Canis lupus familiaris: one gene and its partners. The protein of the gene in region 1 purifies or fractionates together with the protein of each later gene. This does not show direct contact. Links are inferred from orthologs where the notes say so. Each region holds a gene or a part of one and is shown in the gene's direction. Other genes may lie near its edges.

Region 1 (3,142 bases):
ATCTCCAACCCTGTCACCAAGGAGATGCTGTTTGAGTTCATCGACAGATGTGCAGCAGCTTCTCAAGGACAGAAGCGAAAGCATCATCTGGACCCTGACACAGAGCTCATGCCTCCACCACCTCCCAAAAGACCTCGCCCTTTGACCTAAGACCTGCCTCTGACTTAAGGATTGAGAGGAAAAATGAGTGAGAAAAAATGCTGTTGCCCCATTTTTGCAGCCAGAGAAATTCGAAAAAGAGTGTGGCTTGATGTTGATACACATTTGATTTTTTTTTTTTTTTAAAAAGAGAAGTATTGTAGCCAGCCTGTAAATATTTGATGCATTTGTTTCCTCAGTGCTACAATACATCGTGGACCTTAAACATTTTATTTATATCTGATAAACTCAGCCTTACCTTGTGAATCTGAAGATTAAAATATCCAAAGGTTTAATTGAGATTGAAATCAATGAAAAAGAGGCCTTGTTTGTATATGGATAACTTTTATCTTTAATTTATAAAGTTAGTAATCTGGAACTGTGAGCGCATAAAACATTGTATTTTTTAGAAGTTGAATTTCAACAATGGTAAATTTTCCTTTAAAAAAAAATAGGCAATGGCATTAAACATTCTTGCTATCACATCATGGATTTCCTACATTTCTGAGATTCTTGTATTCAAAAACAAATGACAAGGTTGTTAAGTATTGTACTATATTAAACAACTTGGTCTGGCATATATCATTTTAAGAAGTTTTTTTTTTTTGAAATGTAAGAGTAAAAAAGTAAAGCCCCATTTTTGTGAATTGCATACTTTCTAAAGAAGTATATTGAGTATTTTCATGTTTCTATTCTTTGAACTAAAATATCAGATATCCAATGTGTCTATTCTGGCTGTGGTTTTGAGTTAGTTCATAGAACTTAGATATACACCACCAGGTCCCTTTTATGTGTTGTTCTCCCAGGAGACTTTTTTTTTTTTCTTTTAAAAAAGACAGGGGTACTTCTGCTTTACCTCAGTGGTATTGGCACATTGTAAATTACATTAAAACACACAACTCACTGTGATTATGGGGAATGATATCAAATACAAACGATGTTGTGTTAGTTCCCTTGAACAAAACAGCAAAGGAAATGCCAGCCAACTCCTTTGATTAGAAGGTAATACCAATGGAATAGAATGCTGTCACTAGAAAATGCTCTCCCACTGCTAGATAAATGCAGAGGCAAAGCCTAGACATCTGTAGGAACTAAACATCAAGGAAGCCAAGACATTTATTTTCAAAGCCAGAATTCTATCTATGTTCTGTGCTGGGGATGCTATTTCTGTTATACATCTGAATTTTAAAACATTTACTGATAGATAATGGATTTAAAGAGCAGCTAATTGGTTATTTGCCATTGTTGAGAAGCTGTGTTCTGATTGGTTTGTGAAGGAAACTCTGAGAATTAGCCTATTAGAGGCTAAATGTATTTATTTTTAGAGGTACAGGTTTTAAGTATGTGTATTTAAAACAAATTTTCATGATCTAAATTTTATATATATATGCATATATATGTCAGTATATGCATCAATGTATATTCTTCTACTAATAACAATCAGACATGAAAAATGCAAATGAGTTACCCAGCAGACTGAATATCTGACAGGATTTCTATATATGATATAGCACAGATTAACCAAAAATGTATTTATATTCACCTGAGTTTTAATGTTTTTAAACAAAGTTTTCTCCTGCAGCGCTTTTCTATATGAAATATTAGAGTCATGCTTGGGCTTTTTCCTTTGTTCTTTCCAAGTTATGTAATGTGTAGTGAATGTATCCAGAATGTCATTTTAGTATTTCATTCCTAGAGTGTTTTTTTGAGTTTGGGTACTAAAGGGATTCAAATACCTGACTGCCACAATGACTGCTGAAAGGTGGAAATTTGTCAAGGTTCCATAGTGTCTTGTACAGAGTGGGTCTGAAAAAACACCTATGCAACTCCAAATAGTCTGATGCCTGCTTCACCAGGATTAGTGACTCGTTTCACATGGTATGTTGTTTTCTTCCAAGCCTGTATAATGCACAGTCCTTCTGCAGATATAAGAGCTAGTTTTTGCCAGTGATCTTCAGTGGAGTTAAAATGTTTATGGTAATTGTAACCTTTTAAATGAGTTATGTGAAAAGAGCATCTCATTTTTAATATACCCAGATATTTTTTCCTTGCCTTTGTGCATTTTCCAGGATTTAATTTTCTTAATTTGTTCTTTCCTTTCAATTACAGTGAAGTATAATAGCCGACCTAATAAGTAGATCCCATTTGGCCCCTTTAACACACTATCATCTGCAGTATCATAAAAAGTCATCTAGAAAGTCAAGGGGGGAAATCAAGAGGCAGGAATTGGGACAGCAAGAAGGACAGAAACTCTTCCCTTCTCAGTCCACTTCACAATAACCATTTTCTGACACTGAAGTTTTATATAGACAACAGTAAGAAAACTTTGCTTTCCTGAGTTATCAAATATAAAAGCTTTTGCTTTGAATTTGGAAAAGATATGGATGACTTGACTGCCTGGATGGTTACATTTGCTTTCCGTGAAATGCTCAGAAAATGTCAGGACATTCCTTCTCTAATTGTGTGTCAGTGTGTATTGTAATAAAACTACTGATTTAAAATAACAGAAAGCGTATCTACTTTGTTTTGCTGGTGATGCCTTTGTGTCCCTTTATTTAACAAACGATTTTGTGTCCTTTCTTTTGCTGACATTATCCTGCCTGTCATCCATACCCAATGTTATCCATCTGGTTTTGTTGCATTCTAGAATTAACATAAAGACTTGGAACATCCTCTATTTTTCTTCCCCAGAAACCAAGAAATTGAAGTGACATGGGAAGTATAGTTTGCACCTTTTCTTTTTGGAGTGTAGGGGAGCGGGGAGAAAGCCCATCTCTAAATGATATTTGTAGTATTTCTATTTGTCCACCTCATCATCTTAGTACCCTGTAGATACTCTGTTACATCATTTTTAATACATTTAATTTTTTCAGCAGTAAATACTCTAAAGTAATGAAGTAATGACCTATCTGATTTTTTGTAGTATGGAATTTGCCATTTTTCATTTTTAAATGATGCCATTTGGAACAATGTGTATAGTCCTTTATAACCAAAAGACCTTGAG
Region 2 (3,500 bases), on another chromosome or scaffold:
CCTGCTTTATCACAACCACGAAAACACAGGGAATTTCTAACAAAAACAGCTAAGTTTAAAGAAGTGATTCCCATATCAGATCCTGAGCTGAAACAAAAAATTCATCAGACGTACCGAGTTCAGTATATCCAGGATATGGTTCTACCTACTCCCTCGGTCTTTGAAGAAAATATGTTATCAACACTTCACTCCTTTATCTTTTTCAATAAGGTAGAAATTGTTGGTATGTTACAGGTGAGTTAGATCTTTTTCCTACTTACAAAGATACCTTCTTGATCCCATTAACTGTTAGCAGTAATCAGTTAATCTGTTAACTGATTTAGCAGAAGGAATTTCTGTTCCTTTTAAATACCTAAATTGAGTTTTGATTTCTGTCTAAGGGTAAGTTTTTGGTTGATATTAGAAGAGATTATAATATATACTACTGTGGGACCAGAAGGTTGTTAGGTTTCCAGCAGGGAACGTAAATGTGATAAAGAAGTCTAGCTTGGAGAAATTAGAGGGAATGAATGTTCTTAACAAATGAATGTAGAATTTTAGGTATATTGATATGTCAATTATGCATAGAGTGGATTCAAAGAGAAAGGTATAATGAGACAAGAAGTATGTCATTAAATACAGAATATAAATCTGTAGAATTGGTAGCACTGTCAGATCATTAATATTAAAGGTTTAGTTTTAGGGTCAAGGGAATACAGCAGATATTGGAAAATTATAGTTGCAGGTCTCCTTACCAAAAGGCATGCTTTTGTACCAGATGAGAGTATGGGGAAGTTGGATGTGAGTAAGGAGCTATGGCTCTTGTTATTTAATAGCTATGTGACTTGGGCAATTTTCTTAACCTTTTAAGAAGCTTTAGCTTCCTGATCTGAAGGATGGTGATATTAGTATCAACCCTGTAAGTCATCTGAAAATTAAAGAAGATCATGCATGAACACAGTGCAAGACTCTTGAGCATTATTTTGGAGCACCCATGTGTGCAAGTGGAGGTGGGGGGAGGAGTAGAGGGGGAGAGAGACACACACACATGCACACTTTTAAGCAGGCTGCACGCTCAGCATGCAACAACCCTGAGATCATGACTTGAGCCCAAATCAAGAGTCAGAGGCTTAACCCAGCTGAACCACCCAGGCACCCCGAGGATTATTTTAAAGTATCTTTTAGTAATTGCTATATTACTGAGCCTGGGTGACTCAGCGACTGAGCATCTTCCTTTAGCTCAGGGCGTGATCCTGGGATCCAGCATTGAGTCCCACATCAGGCTCCTTGTGGGGAGCCTATTTCTCCCTCTGCCTGTGTCTCTGCCTTTCTGTGTCTCATAAATAAATAAATAAATATTAAAGAAAATAAATAATTGCTATATTAAGCTCCAAATTTTCTTTCTACAATATGCCCAGTCTCTCAGGTCTGGTGTTTTTGTTTTTGTTTTTCTTAGATTCATTCATTCATTCATTCATTCATTCATTCATTTATATTTTATTTTATTTATGAATGATAGGCAGAGACACAGGAGGAGGGAGACTCGGGACTCGATCCCGGGACTACAGGATCGCGCCCTGGGCCAAAGGCAGGCGCCAAACCGCCGAGCCACCCAGGGATCCCCAGGTCTGGTGTTTTAAGGGTGCTTGTATCAGAATTGCCTAGGGTGTAGTTTCCTGGATTCTGCACAAAACACAGCAATCAAAATCTGTGAGAGCTGGCCAGTGATCTGCATTTGTAACATTCCCAAAGTTAGAAAACCTCTCAGTATATTATCCCATAGTGTAGGAATTAGTCTGTTCTAGCTGAAATGGAACTTTGAAGTTTGCATGGTGCAAAGATTTGTGAGTTGCACACCTCACCTCCTCATGTTGTTTATTTCTTGATGCTAATGATATTGGAAGAATAACAGATGATATGACTTGGAAAGACTTAAGACCTTACCTCAGATCTACAAATAAAGTAATTATTTGAAACCTCGATTTAAATAAAAGAGGCAAATAAATGTCAGAGCTGTTTGGTAGGACATGTTATGAATAAAGCAGTGAGTTTAATTTGTGTGGCTGTTCCTTTTTAGAAAATTGCTGTATTTTCAGAGTCCTTGCCTTTGTCATCTTAGAAAAACCATGAATTCAAATAGAAAAATCAGTTTTACCAATACTGTTGTCCTGGAGCTAGGAATAATTCCTGTTCATTTTGACTAATTTGATGTGGTTCCCATTCATTTAAGACTGACATGTAAATAAGTAATATAGGCAATACAGTCTGGTAAGGACAACAGTGATCTCTATACAGTGTATTATGATTGATAATGGAGGAGAGAGGTGATTCTGGTACTTTCTATTCTTTGAGAAGCATCTAGTTTTTACTGGCTACCTAGTAGAGCCTCTGTTCTGGTCCACTTTTGATTCCTGGTTTCCTTGGATAGTCCTGAGTGCATCTGGTCCTTAAGCTCCACGTGGTTCTCATTTTGTTATGCAGAGATTTGTCACTTGTGTGGTTTCTTGGTCATCATACCTGTTATATGCCAGCTTTACTCATTAAATATGAATAATTTCAAGTTGTTAAGTCTTTGTTTCCCCATATTATGCTTTGTGAATCCTGGCTGTCAATACTGTAGTTGTTTCTCTTGATGCAGGTACTTATATCCAAAGTGCTGCTATGAAGGAAAGAGAATTTTATAAATTTGTGATGATGGGTGATTGAGATAGAATTTAAAGCAGACTCTTAGCCCCCTTGTGTACACAGTCATACCCTCCCTTTAGTTTTAACTGCTCTGTATTTAATACTATTAAAAATTCTTTTTTTAAAAAACATTTTTATTCTCTCAACTTCTGTAGCCCCAAATGCAGCAGTTCAGAGACTCTTTTTCAGTCTTTTGATTTCCAGTTGGTGGGATATATTATATCTGGGATCATCTTGAAATTACATGCCATTTGAGGTATGGCTTATTTGTACATTTTAGAAAAAGTAAAAGTAGGAATAACCAATTTAGTATCACAGAAAATATTTGCTAAGTACCTGCAACAGTGAAGATGGAGTTTATAATCTAGTGGGGGATTACATACACACATAAACATACATTTATATATACATATATATATTTAGACTTAGGCATATCTGTAGGGCTGAACTAGTGTTGAATCTATTACTAGCTGAGATAGTATGGTATTAAAGTATAACACAATCTTAAAAATAGTAATGGAAAAAAATTGAACAGATAGGAAGGTGTCTGCCACCTCCTGTAGTTGGTCTTTGGGTAAATGTCTTAACTGTCTCAGTTATAACATTTGAAGTTCTAAGTTCTGTATTGACTTAACCAGATTAGTATCCTAGGAGAGTACCTCTTTAATCTTTTTCAAAATAATGCATATTGTGTGTGTCTGTATGGCATATCTTCAAATAATAAGTGTTTCTTTTAAAGCTCTGCATTTAGCTTTTTAAATAATTGAATCATTTTCTGTGTCTTTAAAATGTGAAAGAAGCTTTATCTTAATTTTTACCGTCTTTTGAGAGGTGGG
Region 3 (3,500 bases), on another chromosome or scaffold:
GCCGGAAGGGTTTTCTCTTCAAGAGCTTTGCTATGTCTGCTGTGGTGAGGGTCCCAGAGGGCATCTTGCTTACCATGGTGGGGTGCAGGGAGGCCAAGTCCAGGTCCCAGAGCAGTGGGTTATCTGGGTCTCTCCTGCTTAATCTGCTAAGCCGTTAGTGTAGGAGTGTCCCTGGGGAAATAAATCTCACCATCTCACTAGCCCGCATGGCTGGGCTGTGACACTGACCTTCGTCTACTTCCTCCTCTTCCCTTTGTCTCTTGGGGCTCAGATCACAGAGGGTGTGAAGCCAACGCTCTCCGAGCTGGAGAAGTTTGAGGACCAGCCAGAGGGCATTGACCTTGAGGTGGTGACCGAGAGCACAGGTACTTGGTCCCTGTCAGTAGCTCAGGCCTCCAGAGGACGGGGTGGCTTGTGGCAGGCAGCCCTCACATCAACCCGGCATCTGTCCCTGCAGGGAAGGAGCGGGAACACAACTTCCAACCTGGGGACAATGTGGAGGTGTGTGAGGGTGAGCTCATCAACCTGCAGGGCAAGATCCTCAGCGTGGATGGCAACAAGATCACCATCATGCCCAAGCACGAGGACCTCAAGGTAGGTACCACACGGCCCATATGTGCGTATTGGGTTGAGAGCATGGTGTCATCATAGCATAATCTAAGCTGGCTGCCTGGTTTTAGTTTGCTTTAAGGGTGTGGGTGTCTGTGTCTGTCTGTCTGTTTTGAGAGTTTGTCCAGGCTAGCATGATGTGTCTGGGGTGAGGCTTTCTCTGGCTAGGTCTGAGGAAGTGTTTAGTCTGTGTCGTATGTTTTGGGGGTAGGCTTTCTGTGTGTGGAGTAAAGGGGTATCCAGGCTGATTTCCTGAGTCTGAGGTGAGCTGTCTCTAGGGCAGTCTGAGGGTTGTGCAAGGAGTCTGTGATTGGGTAGTGTAAGTCTGGAGTGGGTTTTGGCAAGGTCTTTTCTGAGAATATGAGCGGCTTCTGGAGATGGGGAAGCAGGTGGGCCATAGTAGCTTTTCTTGACCTGCTCAGTGTCCCCATACCCAATCCCCAGGACATGCTGGAGTTCCCGGCCCAGGAGCTCCGGAAGTACTTTAAAATGGGGGACCACGTGAAGGTGATTGCTGGTCGATTTGAGGGTGACACAGGCCTCATTGTGCGAGTGGAGGAGAACTTTGTTATCCTCTTCTCTGACCTCACCATGCACGAGGTAAGTGGGGGACTGGGGTCGAGGTGGAACGTGCCTAATGAGACCCAGGCTAAAGAGCCACTTGGACCCTGCTTCACCCTTTCCTGTTTCCCACAGCTGAAGGTGCTCCCCCGGGACCTGCAGCTCTGCTCAGAGACGGCGTCGGGTGTGGATGTGGGGGGCCAGCATGAGTGGGGGGAGCTGGTGCAGCTGGACCCCCAGACCGTGGGTGTCATCGTGCGACTGGAGCGAGAGACCTTCCAGGTGTGTGTGTGTTGTACTCAGTGGTGGGGCCTGCCTTCCTTCCTCTCCCTTGAGCTCCTCATCCTAGGGAGGTGGCAGATCGTGGTGGCTAAGATCCACACTGCTCTGAGTGGCAGATCTGACTCTGTCAGCCGTGGCTGGCTGTGTGGTGTTGGGCAGGTGGCATGTCATTACCCTCTCTGTACTTGTTTCATACCCTGTAAAATGGAGATATCGGTATCATGTATTTCGTTGAAGCCCTGAGATCAAATATTGTAAACACAGGTGCTTGCTCAAGGGCTGGGGGCTGCAGGTGCTCTCCTTTCCTCCATCTCTTCCCAGTGGACGTGGGAGTCAGAGTCCTAATGCTTAGGACCCTGGACTCTGGATTCATATCTTGGTCCTATTGCTCCATGCTGTATGACCCTGGGCTCGTGACTTGCCCTCTCTGGGCCTGAGATCTGCCCCCCCGCCCCCTTGTAAAATGGGAATCATGACCACATCCATCTCAGAGGGAAGTTTTGAGGCTTCAGTGAAATGTTGTGTGAAGAATTTAGTACATGACCTGGCACACAGAGATGGGTAAAAATTATGTTAATATTTACTCCTTTACCCATTTTTCAGGTCTCTGATGGAGTGTCTTCCCAAAAGTGTTTTGAAATGATTGGGAACATTTTTATTTGATGCAGTGCCTCGGCAGCAGTGTCCTCAGAGCCAAGGAGGCTAGATTTCCGCAGAGCTTGAGATGGTTTCCCACAAGGAAGGATCATTCCACCTTAGGAAAGCCCTACTCCACTTCGCTTCTTTCTACTCTCACAGCTCAGCATCCCCCCCTCCCTCCATAGGTGCTGAACATGTATGGGAAGGTGGTGACTGTCAGACACCAGGCTGTGACACGAAAGAAGGACAACCGCTTTGCTGTGGCCCTGGACTCAGAACAGAATAACATCCATGTGAAAGACATCGTCAAGGTCATTGATGGCCCCCACTCAGTGAGTATAACCTCCTGCCTGTTGACCACGCCTGAAATTGCTGGGGTGGGCATGGCCATGAGAGTGACCGTCCTTTCCCCACTCAGGGCCGGGAGGGCGAAATTCGCCATCTCTTCCGCAGCTTTGCCTTTCTGCACTGCAAGAAACTGGTGGAGAACGGGGGGATGTTTGTCTGCAAGACCCGCCACCTCGTCCTGGCAGGGGGCTCCAAGGTGAGGCGGGTGTGATGGCCTCCTGGCTCTTGGGTTCCTGGCTCAGCTCTCCAGCCTTCTCTGGCCCCCGCAGTGACAAGAACTGGCTTGTGGAGGGTTAGGAGAGCGGATGTCAGGCTCAGGTCATTGGTAGAGTTTACTGGGATTCTGAGCTTTTAATCAAATCATTCATCCATTCTGTTTTATTGAGCACCTGTTAGATGCCTGGCACTGGAGATAGAATAATGAACAAAAAGTCTCTGCCCTTCTAGAGATGCTACCCCAGAGACGAACAGATCAATATATACGTACATCGTACAGTGTGAGGTGATGATAGGCAATTGAAGGAAGGTTAAACAGGATAGGGAGAGAGACAATGGGGAGAGAATAACGGGGTTGCTGCTTTAGATGGGGGTCATCAGGGAAAGGTGTCTTTGATGTGACACCTGAGCAGAGATCCGAATGAAGGGGCCCAGAGCTGCCTGTCTCTGGGGAGCAGCAGATACAGGGGCTCTGAGTTAGAACATGTAGGAAAGCTGTGCAGAACCAAGTATTGGAAAGGAAATCAGGCCCTGGATCTGGGGAGCTGGGACCAGGAGGTGGTCCTCACAGCCCTAAACATTGGGCTGAGAAATTCTCCTGATTTGCAGTTTTTAGGTCACCGGGGCCATAAAGTCCTGGCCAGGGGAGGACCAGGCCTCTTGATTGACAGGCCCACACTGGCACAGGGGTGGTAGTTTCCCCAAAGGGAAATCGAGGCATTGTCACTAGGAGTTGGGAGAGATGGCTGCCAGGCTGTTCAAGCAGGAGGCAGGCAGTGGCATGGGGGCCAGGAGTCTATCACCCAGGCCCTGCCAGCCAGTTCACTTCTTGTCCCTTCCCTAGC

Evidence for each region.
Region 2: the proteins of RNGTT (region 1) and PPP4R3A purify together in Homo sapiens (affinity purification with mass spectrometry; 3 studies listed by BioGRID and IntAct, with this or other methods). This does not show direct contact. The link is inferred for Canis lupus familiaris from reciprocal best matches to the Homo sapiens genes RNGTT and PPP4R3A.
Region 3: the proteins of RNGTT (region 1) and SUPT5H purify together in Homo sapiens (affinity purification with mass spectrometry; 3 studies listed by BioGRID and IntAct, with this or other methods). This does not show direct contact. The link is inferred for Canis lupus familiaris from reciprocal best matches to the Homo sapiens genes RNGTT and SUPT5H.

Annotation. Positions count from the first base shown.
Region 1 is NC_049233.1:48,159,525-48,162,666, reverse strand, and holds the end of RNGTT (mRNA-capping enzyme), read left to right. Parts: coding exon 1-150; 3' UTR 151-2,642; downstream 2,643-3,142.
Region 2 is NC_049229.1:62,651,110-62,654,609, reverse strand, and holds part of PPP4R3A (serine/threonine-protein phosphatase 4 regulatory subunit 3A), read left to right. Parts: coding exon 1-234; intron 235-3,500. UniProt on the Homo sapiens protein: Regulatory subunit of serine/threonine-protein phosphatase 4. May regulate the activity of PPP4C at centrosomal microtubule organizing centers.
Region 3 is NC_049222.1:114,552,066-114,555,565, reverse strand, and holds part of SUPT5H (transcription elongation factor SPT5), read left to right. Parts: coding exon 1-44; intron 45-271; coding exon 272-365; intron 366-457; coding exon 458-594; intron 595-1,053; coding exon 1,054-1,209; intron 1,210-1,305; coding exon 1,306-1,452; intron 1,453-2,276; coding exon 2,277-2,423; intron 2,424-2,509; coding exon 2,510-2,635; intron 2,636-3,499; coding exon 3,500-3,500. UniProt on the Homo sapiens protein: Component of the DRB sensitivity-inducing factor complex (DSIF complex), which regulates mRNA processing and transcription elongation by RNA polymerase II.